2 linked regions of the Caenorhabditis elegans genome follow. The protein of the gene in region 2 interacts with the protein of the main gene of each other region in a pairwise test. Each region holds a gene or a part of one and is shown on either strand. Other genes may lie near its edges.

What was found.
Region 1: the proteins of lst-4 (region 2) and dyn-1 interact in a two-hybrid assay, tested with the Caenorhabditis elegans proteins (2 studies listed by BioGRID).

What each region holds. Positions count from the first base shown.
Region 1 is NC_003284.9:15,565,615-15,576,263, forward strand, and holds dyn-1 (Dynamin), read left to right. Parts: upstream 1-3,306; coding exon 3,307-3,473; intron 3,474-3,538; coding exon 3,539-3,762; intron 3,763-3,943; coding exon 3,944-4,550; intron 4,551-4,595; coding exon 4,596-5,099; intron 5,100-5,146; coding exon 5,147-5,422; intron 5,423-5,956; coding exon 5,957-6,236; intron 6,237-6,340; coding exon 6,341-6,726; intron 6,727-6,899; coding exon of another isoform or gene 6,900-6,948; exon of another isoform or gene 6,949-6,981; intron 6,982-7,262; coding exon 7,263-7,335; downstream 7,336-10,649.
Region 2 is NC_003282.8:14,059,188-14,071,126, forward strand, and holds lst-4 (Sorting nexin lst-4), read right to left. Parts: upstream 9,284-11,939; coding exon 9,008-9,283; intron 7,843-9,007; coding exon 7,621-7,842; coding exon of another isoform or gene 7,546-7,620; intron 5,476-7,545; exon of another isoform or gene 5,473-5,475; coding exon of another isoform or gene 5,436-5,472; intron 5,215-5,435; coding exon of another isoform or gene 5,015-5,214; intron 4,241-5,014; coding exon 3,884-4,240; intron 3,844-3,883; coding exon 3,503-3,843; intron 3,438-3,502; coding exon 3,334-3,437; intron 3,279-3,333; coding exon 3,201-3,278; intron 3,142-3,200; coding exon 2,975-3,141; intron 2,416-2,974; coding exon 2,182-2,415; 3' UTR 1,818-2,181; downstream 1-1,817. Other genes in the region: Y37A1B.4 (Transposase), read right to left, coding at 414-415, 504-586, 698-867, 916-1,035. UniProt on the Caenorhabditis elegans protein: Involved in the signaling of vulval development by acting as a negative regulator of epidermal growth factor receptor (EGFR) signaling. Aids in phagosomal membrane tubule formation which is required for phagosomal fusion with endosomes and lysosomes.

The sequences.
Region 1 (10,649 bases), on a different chromosome or scaffold from region 2:
CATTTTTTGTTTTTGCGTGAAGGCAAGGAGATATTTGAAATAAATCAAATTTTGCCAATTAGACGACTACGGCGTCCCTCTGGATACAAGCCTCAGAACTTCCATGGAGTTTTCGTTTCCAGCGATTGCTTTTGACGTTTTTTTAGGATTCAAAATTTATTCTTATTCAAGAATAGCATCATTTGAAATTGAGTATATAAATCCAATTCAAACCAGTTTTGTTGAATTTCAAACTCTAAGTTGAGTCTTAAATGTATAAACATGAACTGCTCCTGGTATCCTTAACCAGAATGGATAGCGCGTTTAAAGGTGGAGTAGCGCCAGTGGGGATTTTGTCTAAATACACTTATACTGATCCAAAACAACCGAATATCATAATAAAACACTCCAAAAAATTTTAGATTTTTCAAAATATCCGGTCAAAGTTTAGGAAAATTGCCAAAATTTTGTAATTGTCACATTTTGACAGTAAATAAAAAATTTTCAAAATATTTTTGAAAAGTTTTATTGTGATATTCGGTTAGTTTGGCACCATAGAAGTAGTTTTTAACACTTTCCCCCGTGGCGCTACTCCACTTTTAAGTATAGATGACAGTTTGTTTTACAAGGATGTGAGAATACAAAAATTATTGTTAAGCACATTTCATGGCTCTATGAATGTGAATGTGGTTTTTATAACGCTTAATTTATAAAAATGTTGTCTTGCAGAGGTCTCTTCAAAATTTTTGATACTAACACACTTGTGAGCAGTGTTCTAGAACTCAATGGCACAGTTTTCAATAGATATTTGAAAATTTCCTATTGCATATTGTGTAAATTTAGCTTTGAAAATAATTGTATGTCGAAAAATATTTGTTTTTTCCAGTTTTTTTTCAGTCCAGCTATCCGTCCGTCACTATGCAATTTCAAATACTTTGTTAACAAAATATATATCTAGACACTGGTTAGATTTGGAACGAAAACAAAAACTTTCTTCTCTTCCTTTTCCTTTTGTCGTTTATTCTGTGAGTTTGGCTTAGCAAGCCTCCCGGACCACGACGTCGTCATCGGCGCCGTCAGTGCTCCGCGTTTTTTTTTGTGGAGCCAAGAGAAAGAGGGCAGAAAGAGCTTCAAACTGCGGTCGGGAGCTCTAACACACACGTCTTGCTTTTCTTCTTCTGCTTTTGCTCTCCCTGTGTGCGAGAATATGTACATACGCGAAAAATGTGCGCGCGGGGGGGGGGGGCCCCTGCCGAGTAGCAGTGCGCAGCACACATACATAGCAGAATATCGACTAATCGAAAACGCCTCCTTCCTTTTTCTTTTTTCCTTCTTTCTGCTTCGTTTTTCTTTCTTTTTCTTATTCTTATTCTTCGTTTTCCGTTTTTGTTTTCTTTTTCTTCCTTGATATTCTCCTCAGCCTGCTTTGCTCGCTATGGAGTGAAGGGACAACAAAAAACTCAGCTGTTATTTATTCCATGTTCTGTTTTGCTTTACAATTAAAAAAATCAATTGAGCTATTTTGCTAGATTTTCAATACTTTTAAACCATGTTTTATAAATGTTTTATAAATTTCAGAGCATATGAAATCATTGTACATCAACTGATTAGTCACAAATTCATTATCAGGAGTAGTATGGGAATGTTAAATTCGTTATTTGTTTACACACCGCTGGTTCTTAGTAAAATTTTCTAATAGGAAGTAACTGGAATTTGTTTGGAAACCTACAAATCTGTTAATTTCGGAATTAATATCCAAGTTTCCAAATTAGCAGAAATAAAATTTTGAAGTAATATCTGGTTGAAATGTTGTGTTTCTGCTATAAAACTTGAAAAGAAACCTTGAATCCTGCTAGAGAATCGCCTTTGGTCAGAAAATCGAACATCAGTTTTTACTGCAAGTGACAATTTTCAGGGAGTATTTGAAGCCGTTATTTTTAATCCCAACTTTTTAAATGAAAATGAGTATATTTTTCATATTTATGATATGCATATATATATGTTCAATCTATCTGTGTTAGAGCTTGATGATTATTTCGAATCGGGCGGGTTTAAAGATCTGCCAAAAAAATTTGCAGTACTACCCTGTCTTGAAAAAAAAAGAAGAAAAACTGTGATACAATTTAACAATCATGAACATACGACAATTCTCTACAAATTATAATATCATAATGAATTCCATATTTTGTTTAAACAAATTGGACTAAATGAATTTCCTCGTCTCTAATAAACAAATAGAACGTGGAAAAACCTTCTTACTAATCATGATTTCTGGTCACAATTGTGACTCGATATTTGCTAAGATGACGATTTTTCTTTTCTTCCTACGGTACTGATCGGACTGTTGTAAAAGTTTCACAATTTTGAAATATTTTATTTTATTTTTATTTTGCATAATTTCCAAAGGTCATCCATCTCATTTCCATTCTCAATAAAAAAAATTTTTAAAGTCTGCCTCTTTTTATTAAAGAAACGATGTTATTTGCTCACTAACTTCCATTCACACGTTTCCAGCGAGATAGCAGGTAAGTTGAGAGACGCAGGTGGTTAGACTACAAACAGAAGGGTGGCCGGCTGCCACCCTCTCCACACCACTATTTCACAACATTTACAATGAATTGATCTACCCGCCAAATTCTGGTTTTCGGCAATCCAAAACTGTTCGCTTTGTTTTCCACTTTTTCATTTTTCATTTCTCCTCCACTACTTATTTGGATTTTCTTTTTCAAATGTGTCCCGTTTAGTTTTTTTTTGCATCTAACAACCTTCTGTTTTTTTCCAATATTTTCATTAAACAAGCCTCCAAATTCTTCATAAAATTCCTCGTGAAAAGAAATTTCTTGTCGTGGTTACTGCTGACGCGTTTTGCGATGAGTGTGTGTTGGCACGCTCTCCGCCGTCGCTGGCCAAGCCTTTTTCTCTCCCCGCCGCAGTACTGACTGCGAGGCTGACTCACTGCGGTCATTTCGTTTGCCTCACCCTCACTTTTAGTCTCTGCATCTCCGAGTCTCTCCGCGCTTTTTTGTACGCCGATCGTTTCTTCTTCTTGTTTTCCAAACATTCAACACCGTTTTGCCGACAATGATTCTGAATATTTGTTGATTTTGTTTTTTCAAATGCGATTTGAGGATTTTTTTTTCTAATTTTATATTCTATATTCTTGAAGGTGATAAATTTCATTCTAAAACATAATTATTAAACCTCCGAAAACCTCATTGCGAAATCGTGCTTTTTCCATTAAATCTTCTCAATGCTCTTCCTCATATCATTAATCGACTAAAAAAATCGATTTTCAGGTAGTTCAGCGTATAACCACCAGGATCAGCCATGTCGTGGCAAAACCAGGGAATGCAGGCGTTGATCCCTGTGATCAATCGTGTCCAGGACGCCTTCTCCCAGCTGGGCACATCTGTCAGCTTCGAACTTCCACAGATCGCCGTCGTCGGAGGACAGTCCGCTGGAAAGTCGTCGGTGCTGGAGAATTTTGTCGGAAAGTGAGTCACAAGAAGAAAAAAAACATAACTTTGCGAAATAAAATCACAATTTTTTTCCTTTCCAGAGACTTCTTGCCACGTGGATCAGGAATCGTAACACGTCGTCCACTTATTTTGCAGCTTATTCAAGATCGCAATGAGTACGCCGAGTTCCTACACAAGAAGGGTCATCGCTTTGTGGATTTTGATGCAGTTCGGAAAGAGATTGAGGATGAGACTGATCGTGTCACTGGACAGAATAAGGGAATCAGTCCACATCCAATCAACTTGCGTGTCTTTTCTCCAAATGGTAAGCATTTAGAAACTCACAGAAACGCAAGTGCGCTGGATGATTTGAGCATCTGAAACCAGACTTATGCAACTTTTTTTAAAATTTAAATTGCATTAAAGATTTCATAAATTTACAGTGAGTTGCACAAAATCACTGGAAAAATTCACACATTTTAATTAATTCATACTTAATTTTTCAGTTCTAAATCTGACACTCATCGATTTGCCCGGTCTCACAAAAGTGCCCGTCGGAGATCAACCAGCAGATATTGAGCAACAGATCCGTGACATGATTCTCACATTCATCAACCGTGAGACTTGCCTCATTCTTGCCGTCACTCCGGCCAACAGCGATCTCGCCACTTCGGATGCGTTGAAACTTGCGAAGGAAGTCGATCCACAGGGTCTTCGCACGATTGGAGTCCTCACCAAACTTGACTTGATGGACGAGGGAACCGATGCTCGCGAGATCCTCGAGAACAAGCTGTTCACACTTCGTCGTGGCTACGTCGGAGTTGTCAATCGTGGGCAGAAGGATATTGTCGGTCGCAAGGATATTAGAGCTGCTTTGGACGCCGAGAGAAAGTTCTTCATCTCACACCCATCCTACCGACATATGGCTGATCGGTTGGGAACAAGCTACCTTCAACACACTCTTAATCAACAGCTCACCAATCATATCCGTGATACACTGCCAACACTTCGTGATAGTCTTCAAAAGAAGATGTTTGCTATGGAAAAGGATGTGGCCGAGTACAAGAACTACCAGCCAAATGATCCAGGCCGCAAGACCAAGGCTCTTTTGCAGTAAGTGATTTCAATGGAGGTGCTTTATTAACAAAATTTTTGCAGAATGGTTACCCAGTTCAATGCTGACATTGAGCGCTCCATTGAAGGTTCCTCTGCAAAGCTGGTTTCAACCAATGAGCTCAGTGGAGGAGCCCGTATCAATCGGCTTTTCCATGAGCGTTTCCCATTTGAGATTGTTAAAATGGAAATTGACGAGAAAGAAATGCGCAAAGAAATCCAGTATGCCATCAGAAACATTCACGGTATCCGCGTCGGTCTCTTCACTCCGGATATGGCGTTTGAGGCAATTGCCAAAAAGCAAATCACCCGTCTGAAGGAGCCATCGTTGAAATGCGTTGATCTGGTGGTCAACGAGTTGGCTAATGTGATCAGACAGTGCGCTGACACTATGGCTAGATATCCACGTCTTCGTGACGAGCTGGAAAGAATCGTCGTCTCGCATATGCGTGAACGTGAGCAAATTGCCAAGCAGCAAATTGGGCTCATTGTTGACTACGAACTCGCTTATATGAACACAAACCATGAGGATTTCATTGGATTCAGCAAGTAGGAGTTTAGACTTTGCTTTTAGATGTTTAATTTTATTTTTTTAGTGCTGAAGCAAAAGCCTCCCAAGGACAATCAGCGAAGAAGAATCTTGGAAACCAGGTGATCAGAAAGGGCTGGCTCTCACTGAGCAACGTATCGTTTGTGCGTGGCTCCAAGGACAATTGGTTTGTGCTCATGTCGGACAGTTTGAGTTGGTACAAAGATGATGAGGAGAAGGAGAAGAAGTACATGCTCCCATTGGATGGTGTCAAGCTGAAGGATATTGAGGGTGGATTTATGTCTCGTAACCACAAGTTTGCTCTGTTCTACCCCGACGGAAAGTGAGTTACTCAAGAATTTTGCGATTTGATTGCCATTTCAACATTCCAAGAGCCCGCACGCTTTTCTTTCCACATTAGAGTTTCATTAGGCAGAAACACAGGAACACTAAATTGAGCATGAGTTTTGAAACGAGACAAAAAACGCACACACACACAAAATCAATTTTTTTTGAATATTTGTTTAAATTAAATTAATTTGCAGGAGGTGAGTGTATAGTTTACTTTCTTCACTTCTTCTTCTTCTTTAATGACTTGTAAGACAGAAAAACCTTTGTGTTGTCGTCCTTGTGATCTGTTTTCATTTTTTTTACCCGAAAAGTTTATCCACCTTGAAACCAACACCTTTCACTTCTGTAGTCAATTTCTTATTTTTCCTGTTTCTCTTTCTCTGCTGTGACAGTTTCAGTTCAGACAAAAAAAAATACAGCATGCAAAATGCTTTTTAGATAAAAGATTCTGAACCAGCATGAAGATGTAAACTCATGTATCCTTGACCTCACGCACTTGCTTCTCCCATAACCCTTTGAATTCCAGGAACATCTACAAGGATTACAAGCAGCTTGAGTTGGGATGCACCAATTTGGACGAAATTGATGCGTGGAAGGCTTCATTCTTGCGTGCTGGTGTCTATCCAGAAAAGCAGAAGGCACAGGAAGATGAGTCCCAACAAGAGATGGAGGATACCTCGATTGATCCACAACTTGAGAGACAGGTGGAGACAATCCGTAATTTGGTTGATTCCTACATGAGAATCATTACCAAGACAATTAAGGACCTGGTTCCAAAGGCGGTGATGCATTTGATTGTTAACCAGGTGAGGGATTTTAAAAGAATTGAATGATTCATCGTGATATCATCACGGCCTGTTTTTTTAACCGTACACAATAAACCTTAAACTAAATATCTCAATAATTTCAGACAGGTGAGTTCATGAAAGATGAACTTTTGGCCCATCTCTACCAATGCGGCGACACTGATGCTCTCATGGAGGAATCTCAAATAGAAGCCCAGAAGCGCGAGGAGATGCTCCGAATGTACCATGCTTGCAAGGAGGCGCTCCGCATTATCTCTGAAGTCAACATGAGCACCCTTGGCGACCAGCCGCCGCCATTGCCGATGTCTGACTACCGCCCACACCCATCTGGACCTTCACCGGTGCCGCGTCCGGCTCCTGCTCCACCAGGCGGACGTCAGGCCCCAATGCCACCACGCGGAGGACCCGGTGCCCCACCACCACCAGGCATGAGACCACCACCAGGTGCGCCAGGAGGCGGCGGTGGCATGTACCCACCGTTGATTCCAACGTAAGTTTATGCCTATTTTTTTTCGAAAAGAGCACCAGATCTCTTCTAATCTTTCCTATTTTGGTCCGTCATACTCTTTCTTCTGTCAAAATTTTTTTTCTGAAATTTAGAAAAAAAAATACTGTCAACAAGTCAGAATAAAACCTAAAACTAACGTGTACCAACCACTCTAGGCGTCCGGGACCAGGCGGCCCACCACCCAACATGGCACCGCCTAGATAATAATGTTGTGAATAATTCCCCCACTGACCAAAGGTTTGTTAATCGCGAAGAAGCAGTACAGAGAAGTGTATAATTGTTTGTTGTAATCGTGATGTGTATTAGCAGCATCTATCTAGTGTTGTGATCCCTTGGCACTTTATCGGAACATTTTTATATTCCACTATCTTCCTGTGATTTTTTCTACAGAAAGAAGCAAAAGCTAACTTTTCTTTCTCATCAAATTTTTCATAATTTCGTCATTATTTGCATGTTTCAATGGTGGTCTAGCTTTCTGTTGTTGTAGTATTAATCTGAAACGTTGTTTTTTTTTTCAGAAGAGTACCGACACCATCCAACGGAGCACCAGAGATTCCAGCTCGCCCGCAAGTCCCCAAGAGACCTTTCTAAATGCTTTTACATCTCCATCCTAGCTCACTTGTCATACTATTACCGTTCCCATAGTAATTGTACAATGCCCCCGTTTTATCAAGCATTTCTTTTTTTTTTTTGAGAATTTTTAAATTAATCAATATCCCGAGTTCTTCCACCTTTTGAGCAAGTCTCGTTGAGGATTGCATTGGTCCCAGCGCTAACTAGGCGTCAATTCATCCACCTCTCCATTCTCTCTCCCGTTCCAACTGTGTTTTTCTTTGTCAGCGGCGAATTTTCCACAACCAATCGAGTCCTATTTCTCTTTTTTTCCCCCACCTCCCAATAATTTTATTTGCATGTTTTATAAACTCACTTTGTTCAATAATTTATTGATTTTATTTTTTCTATGATTTGAAACTTTACATTTTTCCTACTCTTCTATAGCAATACTTTGTCACTTACAATAACCCCCCCCCCCCAGTCTGCCTATATTTATTTAGATGTTCTTTATGGCCACCCAATGTATAAACTCTTTTAGTGCATTTGTAGGTTCTTTCTTCATCCCACCCAATTCCCCCTCCACCACAAATCCCAGTTTTGATTATTTTAAGCCCATATTTATAAGAAGTAAATATATTTATAGATTTTTCTTAGATTATAAGCTCTTCTAGGTTTTCCCTCGTTGAGAAGAATGATCTGAAAAAGCCTAAATTATAGATTTTTGAAACGTATTGTGTAGAATTTGTATTTATTCGTGAAAGTGGAATAAAGTTAAAACGGAAAAATGTAGTATTAGTTTTGTGCAAAACATTGGCCCTATAAATGTAGATGTAGGAAAGTCTGTTTATTCTTGGAAAAATCCCTAATTTTTGTGAAATTGTTTGGTTTGCAGCGGTCGGAAGCAATCTTGAAAATAATTATCATTTGTAATCACATTTTGGTAATTTATTACGTTTATTTTCTTCATTGATTGGTAGGTATATGTTTTCTTTCGAAAGATGAACAAATGATAGTGAATTGGTGCACCTATAAACGGAAAATATACCTTAAACAATTAATGGTTAAAAAATCCACAATGAAGAAAAGATATTAGAAAATTCCGGTTGCTAAGACATTGAAAAAAACTTGAAAAAAGACTTTGAAAACTTGACAAAATTTGGCACTTTTGAAAAGAACCCATTTAAAACTTAAAGCATGTACTAAAACGAGAACTTTATTTGAAAATTATTATATGTGTATTGCTGCGCTTGTACATTTAAAAAAAGGAACCTTTTCAATTGATACTTAAAACAAATAGAAGTTTTTTAATCCATATCCTCAAGCTTCGCAGATAAACCCTCAATATGCCAAACTCTAATAAGTAGCAATGTAACATGTTTTTGGCGCTGGTGAGTAGGTACTAAAAATTTAATAAATGTTTCCGATTTAAAATTTTAGATCTCGTCAGAATCGTTGTCAACGCAGAACTACAATTCTGGCATACTTTTGTTATAACGATATCAAATACCAAAGAACTCGTCGAAATTGCATACTTGTTGATGGAACCATCCGTTCAACTGAACGCCAGCCAGTTTATTACTTAAATGAAAACTAATTTTTCAATTGATGACGGTTAGTGACTTTAGGTTTCATTTGATCAGCGTAGTTGCTGACACTTAATGGTTCGGGAACATAAAAGAACATGTCGAACACGTACATGACGACTGCTTAAAAGTTGAAAATTTCCCATATCCGTTTCTCATTTTATGTAGTCTCTTTCAGTGTGGCTACTAACGATTTTGCAATTTTACATTATACTTTGTTTGTGAGTTTCAGGAAACTTGTGAATTCGTTCAAACCCTTCAGAATCAGAATAAAAAATGGTGCTTTGTATTTCTTAAATTTTAATAACTTTTTCACGAGCACTACATTTTAAAATTTTGTAGAAGTTGTCTGTTTGCACCCATTTAATTTCAAATGTGTCATAAGTCAACAACTGGCACGTTGAGTATACATAGAAAAGAATGATTTTACCTTTTAATATTTTTTTTGTTATAAAAGCTTGCAACATTTTTATTACCTCTATGGATAAAAAACGAAGGCTAGGAGAAAGAATCTAAAAACTCGGATTAGTTTTTGGATACAAAACAGAAGATTAGAATATTTCCCTTCACGAATTTTGAGGGTAAAACAATTTTACCGAAGTTTTCAAAGGTTTTTGTTCAAGATTCCATTCATTTTTTTTGAAATACTTCATACACGTGGTGTCAGGTTGTTACGGTTTGACTTACAAATTTTGCCCAAAAAATGAGACGTCAGCACGTTTTTAGCCATTTAAATCAGTTAAGAACTCTGTGTCTCAACTCCCGCATTTTTTGTAGATATTTGTAGATCAAACCGAAATGAGACACTCTGACACCACGAGTTCATATTGTGAAACTCTCTTGAATACTTATCACTGTGCCAACCCATGTCACACTTTTAAATACATTGAACAGTATAAAAAACTCAGGTCAAAAGTAACATTTGATTGATCCCCCCCATTTCCTTCTGAACTTTGCTTCTCCTGTTTTTGCGTCGTTTCGCCATCATCATTAAAGTGACTCTTGGACTTGAGACTCTAGTTGCTTATCGATTGGTGATTGAAAAAGTAGGAGAAACGAATCTTTTCATCTACTCCTCTTCTGCACCCGCCTTCTCTTCCTCTTCTTCATCCAGCAGTGCCATTTCTCTTCGGCAGCAAGAATGGTGTGTAAAGTGATGACGGCGCAGTTTCTTCTGGCACAGGAGTAGCACAGCACAACCTCAGCAGTAGTTGGAGCAACCCAGCAGCAGCATATTTTCGATACTCATCGAGCACTTGCCGTTGTGTTGTGTCATCCGCCAACAAATCAGCAAACAACGTTTTTTATCCCGATCATTATTTTTTTTCCTCGCTCTGGGTTGGACTTGTCTATGTTTCAATTTTTATTACAAAAATAATGGAAGAAAAACATTTGTTTGAAAATTTTAATCCCTACTTTAAAGTTATATTATATATAGAAAATAAGTCTAAAAAATGTTTTATTATTTTTTTAAATTTTATTTAAAATTTTGAAAAAAATTTCGTATGGCTGATGTCCCAGACCCATCATTTTTTGTAGTTTTCTGTTTTTCTGAAAATTTAAATGACCTTCTCCGGTTTTTCTAAGATGACGTCACATTTCAAAAACCCATTGAAACTAATTTTCAGAAAACGGAAAACTCAATAAAACTAAGCGTGAAATGGAAAAAAAATCATTTAAAAAGTTAGAAAAATTTAAAAAAAAGATTTCAATTCTACTCGGCCATTGCGATGAATTTTTTATCAATTAACGCTAAATCTGTAAAAA
Region 2 (11,939 bases):
CAATAAATTCAAATGACCTACAACTTTTCTGAATATCTCAAAAATGAAAACTCAGAAAAGTTGATCACTCGAACTAAATGCCGAGAAATTTTATTTGTATTTTTAAATGAATTCCAAAATATATTTTGTATTTAAGTGTGCAACAAAACTTCTGAAAATTTTTTTCAGTGTTTTGATGGGGCGGAGGAAAGCAAATTTTGAATCGAAAAGAAATGATAAATTTCAGTTTCTGCGTACTTCTGGTAAATTTTTGAAGCAATTTCAAACTTATCTTTTAAAAATTGTCTCCTTCTCGCATTCCCTCCTGCTGCTGCTCGTTTGTCGACAAGTCCTCCACGATCCTCTCAGCTGCTGCGGATCACTCCTTCCAAATCATCCATCAACTTCCTTCGTCCATGAACGACATCAGATGCTCCTGAATTAATAAATTATTAAATAAATCATTTGTACGAGATTTTAAGAAAAAATAACAGCCGTGTGAAGTGAACGCTGTTGAAACTCACAATGAAATCGATAAAAACCTTGGTGCTTTTGGGGCAAGATGTTTCCATCACACTGAATCATCACCAATATGTTATTCCATAATCTGAAAATAATGGAATTTTAAAAGTACAAAAAAACTGGAAACGTGGTGTTCTAGTTTTAAAAACATCACATTTCTTTCTGTTCATTTTCAAATCCTCAAACTTCAGCTTACATCGTTACTCCAATCGATTGACGTCGAATGCGTTCATCGGTGCTCAAAAGTTCCAGAGGTTGAACGTGGATTTGTTCCAGCCAAACAAGCACCCTTCCACCTGTTGCACTATACAGTCCAAATTCCGCTTTGACCATATCAGCAACCAATTCATATTTCCAATGCTCTTCCTGAAATAATCTTCAATTCACAAACTTCTAGGTGTTAGATAAACTTACAAGTCTTGTTTTGGTACCAAATTCGGAGTTTTTCTTCTCAATCTCTTTTCTCTCGAATTCGTTTTCTAGACCTCGAACAAACGACTGCAGTTCCAAGTACTTGATACCAAATTGCTGCATTCTAAATCTCGAACAAACGACTGCAGTTCCAAGTACTTGATACCAAATTGCTGCAGGTTACAAACAGCATATCCGGTCCTCTTAAAATCACACGACTTGGACCATTGTCAGACGGGTTGAATTTGTCGAAACCTGGGGAGATGTCCGTTGTCAAGGTGTTAGGAGGTCGGTGGGGAAGATTCCTGTAATAAAAAATTCAATACAAAAAAATGGCGAGAGGTTCCACTGTTATCAACAGATTTTTAGGGTTTTTCTAGTATCGGAATTGAAAACAAAATACTTACTTGTCTTGCTTCATTTCACAGGAAGCTCATCAAGGCGGAACCCGTTAAACGTCGGAGATACAGCTCCATCCCACACCGTCAGTCGGAGCAGGAAACTACTGTTCCGATGCTCGATTTTCTCCACTCGCTGCACACTCGTTGCCACCATCTCCTCGAATTGTCCAACATCATGGCAGCATACCGGCAGACCCTCCGTCGAAAAACTGTAGACTGATCGTTTTGACGAAAACTACAAGCTTATATACCAAGCCTTATCAAGATGTACTAATTAAAGGTCATTGAAGTTCACTTTTTTGAAAAATTATTTCCGTGTAATTAATTGATATTAAGTTTCATCGAAATTTGAGTTTTAAACGTGATTTACGTATATCTCTTTTTTTGGAAAAATTGAAGGAGGTCCCTATTTGGCTCACGAGATGCGTTATCCCGGTGGAGATTGTACATCGGATATTTGGATTTAATTTTGTTTTTTTAAAATGTTTTGCATAAAAAATTAGCTTGTACATATTCATCACAATTCATTCAGACTTTCAAAAAAAAAATTGAAAGGATTTTTCAACTCATAATGCAACTAGAAAAACGGGGGAAACCAGGCGAATAAATATTCAAAAAGGGGATTTTTTTCAAATGTGAACGAAGCAATCATCATATATGGTACAAAGAATGTGGCGAGTTGAAATCACGGGAATTTAGTAGAATTGCACAAAAAATTATGGATTAGAAAGTAGGAAGAAAATATATGAACATTCGGAATTTGACTCAAAAAAAAAGAAGCTAGCTCGATTTTAATGATGGGGGAAATTATGGGGGGAAAACGATTTCTGACACAAAAAGGCAATCAAATAATAAAAATCAATAAAAATCAATCATATCTAGCGGCTAATGAAGTCAGCTTGGTCGCCACTTCCTGATAAAACATTGCTTGTTTCTTCAAATATGTGCCCATTGTCGATTTCATATCCTCCACTTTCTCTGCTGTTTGATGTTGAACTTCAGCAATTACAGTGTAGCTCATCGCATCGATTCTTTGCTTCATCTTTTCAGCCTCGGCCGACGAGAGACGTCCTTCGCTGTCACGGAACTTTTGAACAGCTTGCTGGAAAATTGTTGGGTTTTGAATGTTTTTAGGCTTTTGCCACGGGCTTTCAGATTCTGTCATATCTTGAAATGGGAGGGGTTAATGACCGCGACGCAGGTGCGAGCGGCGCGGCTCGATCGAGAAAAGTTTATTTTATTTTTTGCCCAGAATGCGTGATTTTTCATTTAAATCTTCAAAATTTTCGATTTTTTCAGAGAATAAAGGTTTTTTAAATCTATTTTTACCAAGTTTTGTTTATTTTTTAAACTTTTCCTTAAAAAAAGAAGAAATTGTTAAAATTTAAAGATATTTTTCGAAAAAACGGAAAAACGAACATTTTCAATTTATTTCTTAAAAATTTAATATTTTTAGATTTGTTATAATTCGAAAATTTGACAACCTCCATGTAAACGCAAAAAAAATCCAAAAAATGAAGGAAAATCACGCATTCTTGGCAAACGTCTAAAATAAACATTAATTCGAGCCGCTCCGCACGCGGCTGCGTCGCGGTCCTGGCAGAGTTTCCCAACCCTCAAAAACTCTTCCACTTCAGGATATAAGGGCCTCTGTTCAGTACCTTGTGCACTTGAATAATATCCGGCACATTTTGCACTGTTCCCTTATACGAATAAAGGTTCTCAAGCACTGGTTCCATGTCATTCTTCGTGTGCGCATCGAATACTTGCCCAATTTCATGATATTCTGATGCAGTGTAGGCGAGAGCTTCTGTCAGGCGGCGACTGGCTGAAAAATTAGAATTTTTAAATTTATCCAAGAACTTTTAAAAATCCAAAGATTCATACCAACGGTCTCATCAATCTCAAAAGATTGCTGAAGTGTCTTGAACGCGCTTCCCATCTTTTGCCAATTTTGTTTTACCGCTGAAATTTGATTTTTTTAATTTAAATTTTTAAAGCTCGAAAATTTCCAACATACGTCCAGCGAAGACCTTCTGGAACATGTTCATTCTCTCCTGCATCACACGCATCGCTTCTTCCGATGTTTTGACGCTCCGTTGGAATCGTTCAACTTGCATATCGCTGGAAACATGTAGGATTACGCAGGATTATCAAACTTTCTGCGTAGAATTCTATTAGTTTCTTACACATTATTCGGATCCAATGGTTGATGTGGAACAGTGATACAGTTCAGGAAAGCTCCACCAATGTATTCATCCTTTTCAGCTCGCCGCTTCCCATTCTTCCAATCTTTTTCGTCGGTGCAACTGATAAAGTGGAGCCAAACTTCCGACTGACTCAACACTGGATGCCTACAAATCTTGTTGACCCATAACTGAAGAATGTGCTTCCGATGATCAATAAGATCCTCCTCGTATCTTCCGGCGACCTGTTTCTCTGGCAACGGTGGAATCGGAATGAGCACATATTTAGCCGATAGCTGCTCGTGGAGCCAATCGAAATGCTTGTAGCGACGGGATACCTGACGCTAGCAAGCGGTTAGTAAGCGTCGAAATCTACAAATTTACCTGAATATTAGTCAAACTCGACGTAATCGAATATGCGATGAAGCTCTTCAGCCCTTTCAGCTTTGACTCTTTCTTCGGTTTATCCACTATACACGTGTAGTACTGTTGAATCGGTTTCCATTGAATAATTCCATTGTTCATCACAACTTCATGTCGTTCACTAATCTGTGAGGTGGTCTTTGATTCACCAATCACGTACGCTTCGACTCCGGACTTTACAAAATTCGAGAATCGATTGATGTTCTTGTTGACCTTATTGGATCCTCGATCAGGTCCACCGTGTTCCGAGTGGCTACGGCTGAGGTCACGACGGGAGTTCGAGCCGATCGAGGATTGAACGTTGGGCCGAGTTGGTTCCTGGAAATCGGAATTTTTTGATTTTTTTTATTTTATAACTTTTTGGACACAAATAAGGAAAACATGCATGCGTTACATAACAACCTCAATAGTTAAGGAAGCTTGATACTTTAAGCCAATCAGAACAACGAGCAGTCCCGTACGCCTCAAACAACACGTGGAGTCAGAAAGTCCCGCTTCGCTCTGATCTACGAAAAATGCGGGAAGTGAGACGCAGACATCTGATTTCGCATGGTTAAGAGTGTGCTGACGTCACAATTTTTTTGGGCGAAAAATTTCCGCATTTTTTGTAGATCAGACCGCATTGAGACCAGGGGTGAGCGGCAATCGGCGATCGGTGATCGGCGATTTTCGTGATTTTTCGGCGATCGGCGATCGCCGATCGCCGATGGAATTTTTCAATAAATTCATCTCGATTTTTAAAATCTCATGTTTTTTTTAAACGATTGTTTTGTTGTTTTTAATTTTTTTTTTGAGTAAATGTTAATTTTTCGTCGCATTTCCTTACCAAACAAAAAAACGGAAAGGTGTTTTGACCGAATAACTCGGTTAAAATAGCCGATCGGCGATCGGCAATCGGCGATCGCCGAAATTTTTCGGAAATTGGTGATCGCCGATCGCCGAAATTTTTCGGAAATTGGTGATCGCCGATCGCCGAAAAAAAAAAAGTTTGGGCGATCGGCGATCGCCGATCGCCGATTTTTTTGGGCGACTGCTCAGCCCTGATTGAGACTTTCTGACACCACTTGAAACAACTTATCGAACAACCCGAACCTTATTCTGATCGTGGTGAGACCGATTCGAGCTCAAACACGAGCTCACCGACTTCTCAACTCTCCGTCGACTATCTCTCTCCTCACTGAGACGTCTCCGTCGGGCGGTGCTATCTTGCCTACTCAAGCGCTTTTTGGTGCTCGTGGAGCGGGTAGACGAGCCCACACTACCGTTTCTTTTGCTAGAGGGGTAGGCACCGTCTGCAATGAGATGTGTGAGCGTTGTTAAAGCCACTATGCTTTGAAAATCTTGTAATTGCACATTCGCGGGAAATGAGAGATCGAAAAGAGAGAAACAGAGAAGCCACGTGGCTCCACGTTTTTTCGTTGCGAGGAACATCATCTCTTCTTCAATATCTAACCTTCCAACGAATGTGTAATAGATGTCCGAATGCTTCGCCGACAAGAACTATTCTAATAACCTTGCTGACTACTCCTCGTCTCGTCGTCAGTGGACATATCCGTTCGAGACCCACTTGCACGATGATGATGATGACGAATCGAGTTTTGATAATTCACAACTTGATCATGGACGGACAGACGGTGTTCCTTAATCAACGGATTACAAAAAGTGCTAGAACGCTGAACGTTTCCCCTAAAATATCTAAAAACGAACCCACGACGGTGAGAACGAGACGCTCGCCCTATGAAATCCACGAATTTCAGTAATAGGAATAGGACGGTTATAGAAGAAGACGTCGGCGTCCGATTGACGCAGTCGACGCATTTTTGCATGTATATATATATATGGATATATGTATATATATATATATACATATATATATATATATGTGAGTATGGATATCCAATAGGATCACCAAAAAAGACTCAACACATGATGATAGTTTTCGAGAGGCGTCGGGTGGCGACAGAGCAAAAATGAGCTGGTGGAGAGTGCTGGGGGATTCTCAATAGCAGCAATCAGGAGAGATGCTTGCACATATAAAGCGCGGGGTGTTGCAAAGAGCAGTTGAGAAGGGATATCCCTATTTTTGAGAAGAAAATTTGGGTTTTTTTTTTGTTTTTCAGGGTGATTTTTTAATTGTATGCGTAGTATTAATTTTGAAACCGACATGAAAAGGTGCTCCGCCCCCGAACCATAGGTCTCGTTAGGTATTGGTGTCAAAGTGTCTCACTTCGGCGTGATCTACAAAAAATGCGGGAATTTAGACGCAGATTTTTCAGCAAATTTCGTATGGTTAAGAGCGTGCTGACGTCGCATTTTTCTGGGCGAAAAATTCCCGCGTCTTGTAGATCAAACCGTTATGGGACAGCCTGACACCCCGTGTATTTGGCGTTAGGTATCAGTTTCGCCAATTTTTGAGAATTTTCCGTTGTTTTAATGATTTTTTTGAGCACGTTTAATACCCAACGAGACCTATTTTATTGGGGGCGGAGAGTTTTCATTTGCAGTGGAGCGGTGTGTCCCAATACAGTTTGATCTACAAAAAAATCGTGAATTTTCTCCCAGAAAAATTACGACGTTAGCACGCTATCAACGAAATCAGTTGAAATCAGGGGTGTGCGGCAAATCTCAAAATTTGCCGAGCTCGGCAAATTCGGAAAATCTCTTTTTTTCAATATTTGCCGAGCACGGCAAATTCGGCAAAGTTGCCGAGCTCGGCAAATTCGGCAAATTCGGCAAACTCGCCGTGCTTAACAAACTCGGAAAAATTTGATATTTTTTTTATGTTTTTTGGAGCACCAAAACTACTGAATTCTTAACACACATCTGGTTTCTGAATAAGTTCCGCGTAGTATGTCTGTTTAAGCATCAAAATAGCTCAATTTTGTATCATTTTACTAAATTTTTGGCTAAAAAATCAATAGTTTTAGTCAAAATTGTACTGTCAAATTTTTGACGTGTGCGGCAAATTTCGAAATTTGCCGAGCTCGGCAAATTCGGCAAATCTACTTTTTTGAAATTTGCCGAGCTCGGCAAACGGCAAATTCGACAAATTCGGCAAATTTGCCGCACACCCCTGGTTGAAATGTCTACGTCTCACCTCCCGCATTTTTCGAAGATCAAAGTGCGAAATGGGACTTTCTGACTTCACGTGTATTAAGAAAAAACCTTTGAATGCTAGAGTTAGTTGGAGTAAAATTAATAAAACCTATAAACTTAAAAAAATTCTAAATAAAAAATCCCAGTTAAATAAAAATGTCCTTTACATTTTGAAACGACGGCGACTGATTAACTTGTAGATGATCTAGAGCGATAAAGCTCGAGGATCGTCCACGAGCAAACAGCATTCGCGAAAATTTCAGCAGCAGCAGAAGTTGTTGTAGTAGTAGCAAATAAATCTGGATGACATTTAAATAGTCGCAGCCGACGACGAAGAGAGAGAATTTCGAATGATTAGAAATGAAATGTCCGAAGAGAAGAGGGTCCAGCGGCGACGGAGTGGAGAGACGACTTCTACCGGAAACCAAGTTGCGGCGGCGACGACAACGATGTCGTTTCCCGGCGATTTTTGAGGAGGATGACTATTCTTTTTGGACTTTTCGTTTGGTCTTTTAGGATATATAGATTTAGGAGTTAGAGGGTATAAATAGGACGGACAGAAACTGGACAATCAAAAAATTAAAATAAAATTTTAAAAATACCTGCTCATCATCCTCATCCGTCCATTCATCGTCAAAATCATCATTCTGTGATGGATATGAAGATCTAGTGACTTCCGGTACAGATGGCGTTGGCTGATGATGATGTTGGGCTCCGTAGGATGGTGGAGCAGCAACTTCTGAAGCGCCTCCCCAATCATCAAAAGGACGCGATGAGGCAGCTGGTGGACCGCTTGAAGTTGGTGGGAGTGGTGGTGGTAGGACCTGGAATTTTTGAGTATTTATGAAATTGTTTAAAAAGTTAGAAAATTGAAATGGGATCTGTGTGTCATGTGGTCCCATCACGGATTGATCTACAAAAAATGCGGGATTTTTTGCCCGACAAAATGTGACGTCAGCACGTTTTTAACCGTGCACACGTGGTGTCAGGCTGTCTCATTGCGGTTTGATCTACGAAAAATGCGGGGATACTTTTCAAGAAAAATTGTGACTTCAGCACGCTCTTAACCATGCGAAATCAGATGAGATGTCTGCGTCTCTTCTCCCGCATTTTCGAAGATCAAAGCGAAATGGTACTGTGCGAAATCAGTGGATAACTCTACGTCTCAATTCGCGCGTTTTTTGTAGATCAACGTAGATCAAGCCGGAATGGAGCACTCTGGGAGCTACAGTTATTACGTATACGTCACAAGAAAATGGGTCTCGCCACGCTGACAACTGTAAATCGACACGAGTAACAGAAACTTGTTGTCAGCGTGGTGAGACCCGTAACCAACTACTAGAGCTCTATTTTGTGATATGGTACGGTAGGAGTACTGTAGGATTACTGTAGAATAACAAAACAAATCTGTTGTGAGCTTTTGTGGAGTCTCCAGCGGTGTCCTATTTGAGGATCGACCTCATTAAGTTTGGTAGCGAACACATGGTGTCAGAGTTTCCCATTTCGGTTTGATCTACGTTGATCTACAAAAAAAATGCGGGAGAAGAGACGCAGAGTTCTCATCTGATTTTGAATTGTAAAGAACGTGCTGACGTCACATTGTTGGGCAAAAAATTCCCGCATTTTTTTTGTAGATCAGACCGTAATGGGACGGCCTGGCACCATGTGAGCGAATGTAAATTTCAAATTGTCAAAATTTACTCTGTTTGGCACCTACACGTGGTGCCAGGCTGTCCCATTACGGTTTGATCTACAAAAAATGCGGGCATTTTCGCCCAAAAATATGTGACGTCAGCACGTTCTTAACCATACGAAATTAGTGGAGAACTCTGCGTTTCTTCTCCCGCATTTTTTGTAGATCTACGTAGGTCAAACCGAAATGAGACACTCTGACACCACGTGCACCTATGAATTTGCCTCAGAATTTCGAGGAATTTCTGAGAGGTTTGGAAAGAATCGAAAAGATTATCTTCTACACAAAACCCCTACACTCTTCGATATTGCTCCACTTTTCTTAAAACTGCTCTTTCTAGACGAGTGCTTCCCAGTGGAATGCTGTTCATCCTCTTCCTCCATCAGAATAGGTGGCTTCATCTTATGCGGTGAAGCAGATGTGTCTTGTTTGATGAGTGTACTACACGTGTGTCGTCGAAGCATCTGTTTGCGACGACGTTCGAGAAGCTGCCGATGAGCATCTTCAGATGAGCCGCCCGGTGGTGTTGGGTAGTTCTCAACGGCCTTTCGAAGACTCGATGTGAAGAGCATTCGCGAAAAGATCGAAAAGTCGGATAAAAAGTAGGAAATCTCTTGGCAGAATGAGTGGAATATAAGACGAATCAGGTATATAGAGCTTCTTTGAGAATCTACTTATTTTGTTTTCAAGTATCTGGACCGCCGTCTTCAAGTGAGTAGGAGGATCCGAACGTCTCCAGGGACCCGAGGAAAAACCAATTTCAAAATAGTTTTTCTTTCTTTTTTTTTCTATTTTGTTCCAGTCTCTTCCGCTTCATCTCACTCCTCTTTGTTGCGTTCTTCTTCCACCATCTTTTTTATTATTCAAATTTCATGGGCTTTTACTCATCTTTCTCTCCGTTTTGAATATTTTTCGGAAACAAGCATCAGATTCAGCGATTTCTAGAGGGTTCCAGCAGCTCAAAATGCTGATGAGAAGGCAATTTCAATCATTTTGATGCTTTTGGCTCACCACAACCAATTTAGATGCTCCCCGCAGAAATGCACACAACGAAGACACACAACGAAGACACACACACACACACACAAAATACAATCAAAACCGGAAATAGATGAGAAAGTGGGTTAACTAGAAGACAAATGGGTTACCGGTGGCGGACGAGAAGCTTGATAGGGAGTTACGTAGGATTCGGGAAAGAGTCCGACGGATCCACGCACGTTTCGACCTTCTATCCATCCTCCGTCGATGTTCTGAAATAAAAACTCTTGATTTTGCTTTAAATTATAGAAAAAAATGGGCTGAAATGATCGAATAATAAATTCTTTTTGTGATTTTTTTTCCATTTTTGGGTAAATTCTTTCGTTTTTCTTATTTTTTTAAAGAGATATTTGAATTAAAACGCCATTTATCAGTTTTTCAGACATTTTTCCGCGGAGAAAACTTGTTCTCCGGACGAAAATTGGCCTAAAAATCAGGAATTTCATATATTGATAAGAAATTTTCAGGAAAAACGCCTGGAAATCTGACAAAACCAATGAATTTACACCATTTATCAGTTTTTTTTTGTTTGACAAAATTATGTAAATTATCAACGTTTGGCCAGATTTAAAGTTTCTGCGTATTTTGTTCGAGGAATCGAGTTTTCGCTTCGGAAAAATGCCTGAAAAACGAATAATCAGTGTTTTAAAACAAAAATTAAACAAAAAATTAAGAAAAAACAGATGAATTTCGCCAGAAAACGGGAAAACGCCGATTTATTCACGCGGGAATTCAAAATTAATTTAGCCGATTGTTTCATTTTACGATTCAAAAAATCCTCGAACAACTCTGTTCCACCTGCTCAAAAAGCCTCTTACCTCTCGAATAACCGTCAAAACTTCGCCAGCCGAGATTGACAGTTCGCCTGTGTTTGGTTGACTTTGAAAATCATACTCGGCTTTCACCTGAGCCATTTCTCTGAAAAAAATGTTAATTTTTAATTTAAAATATTCCAGAAAAAGAGTAAAACTGAATTTTCAGCAAGGTTTTTCAGTTGATAAGTGTCAAAAAAAGCGAGCGAGCAGAGAATATGAGAAATCAATAAAAAATAAACAATGAGTCAGCCAATATTTCAATACACAACGCGGCAACTCGTGATGACTGGTGAAATTGGGAAGTTTTTTAGGGAGGAGGAGGAATAGGTGTCAAATTTCCATAGGCATATGATTAAAATTGTTGAATTTTGGGTGGGAAAGTGCATTTTTGGGTAAAAAAAAACACTGTTAAAAGACAAAATGCAGCAATTTGAAGAATTTACAGAGTGCTTTTTCGTTATTTTCACAGAAAAAACTTTAGAAAGGGTCCAGTTCAATTTAATTTTAGAAAAATGGGAAAAATTCGCATAAAAACCTGACAAAATTAACCTTTATCGCTCGAAAATAATATTTTTTTTCGAAATAAATTCAAATATTAAAATTCCCGCCGCAAAAAGTTGTCAATGGAGCGCACTTACAGCCAAAAATTGTCATTGGAGCGCGCTTACAGTAAGCAATTTTTTATTATTTTTTCAACTAATTTTCAAGAATTTTTCTTTCACAGTGATATCAATCTATGATTTTATACTTTTTTATAAGAAGATCAGCAATTTATTATTGACCACGAAATAATTATAATCTTCCTTATAGACTTTTCTAGAATTAATGCGATTATTCCGAAAACACAACACACAAAGTGTTCGTTTAGCACATATTTTTCGGCAAAGCAACAAAATTCCCTATTCAAACAAATATAATTAGACATAGCCAACGACATCCGATATCTTGCGAAATCATCTGGAAAACGGTTTCGCAACACAAACCACCGGGGGTGACGCAAGCAATACAGTTATATGAAAGGAAGCAGCTTTATGGTCACAAACACAAAAGCCAATCAACTTCGGAAAAAAAATACGAGAAGCGCAGAGAAAAAAACGGTCAAACCGAACGCGAGATCGTAAAATCGGATTGTCCTGCCAGGCGGTGGAAGGTGAACCGGTTTTTTCCTGATTTTTCAGTTCTTCTCGATTTCTCCTGATATCAAATCAGCAATTTTTCGAATTTTCCCGCGAAAATATTTATGTTATTGTCAATTTACCCTGATTTTTCACAAATTTCCCACATTCTCGCTAGAATTCTATGAGAAAGTGATACGCAGACAGTACGAGATCAAAGGCGCATTGGTGGCCTGCAGATGAAGGGTCTCGAAGCGAAT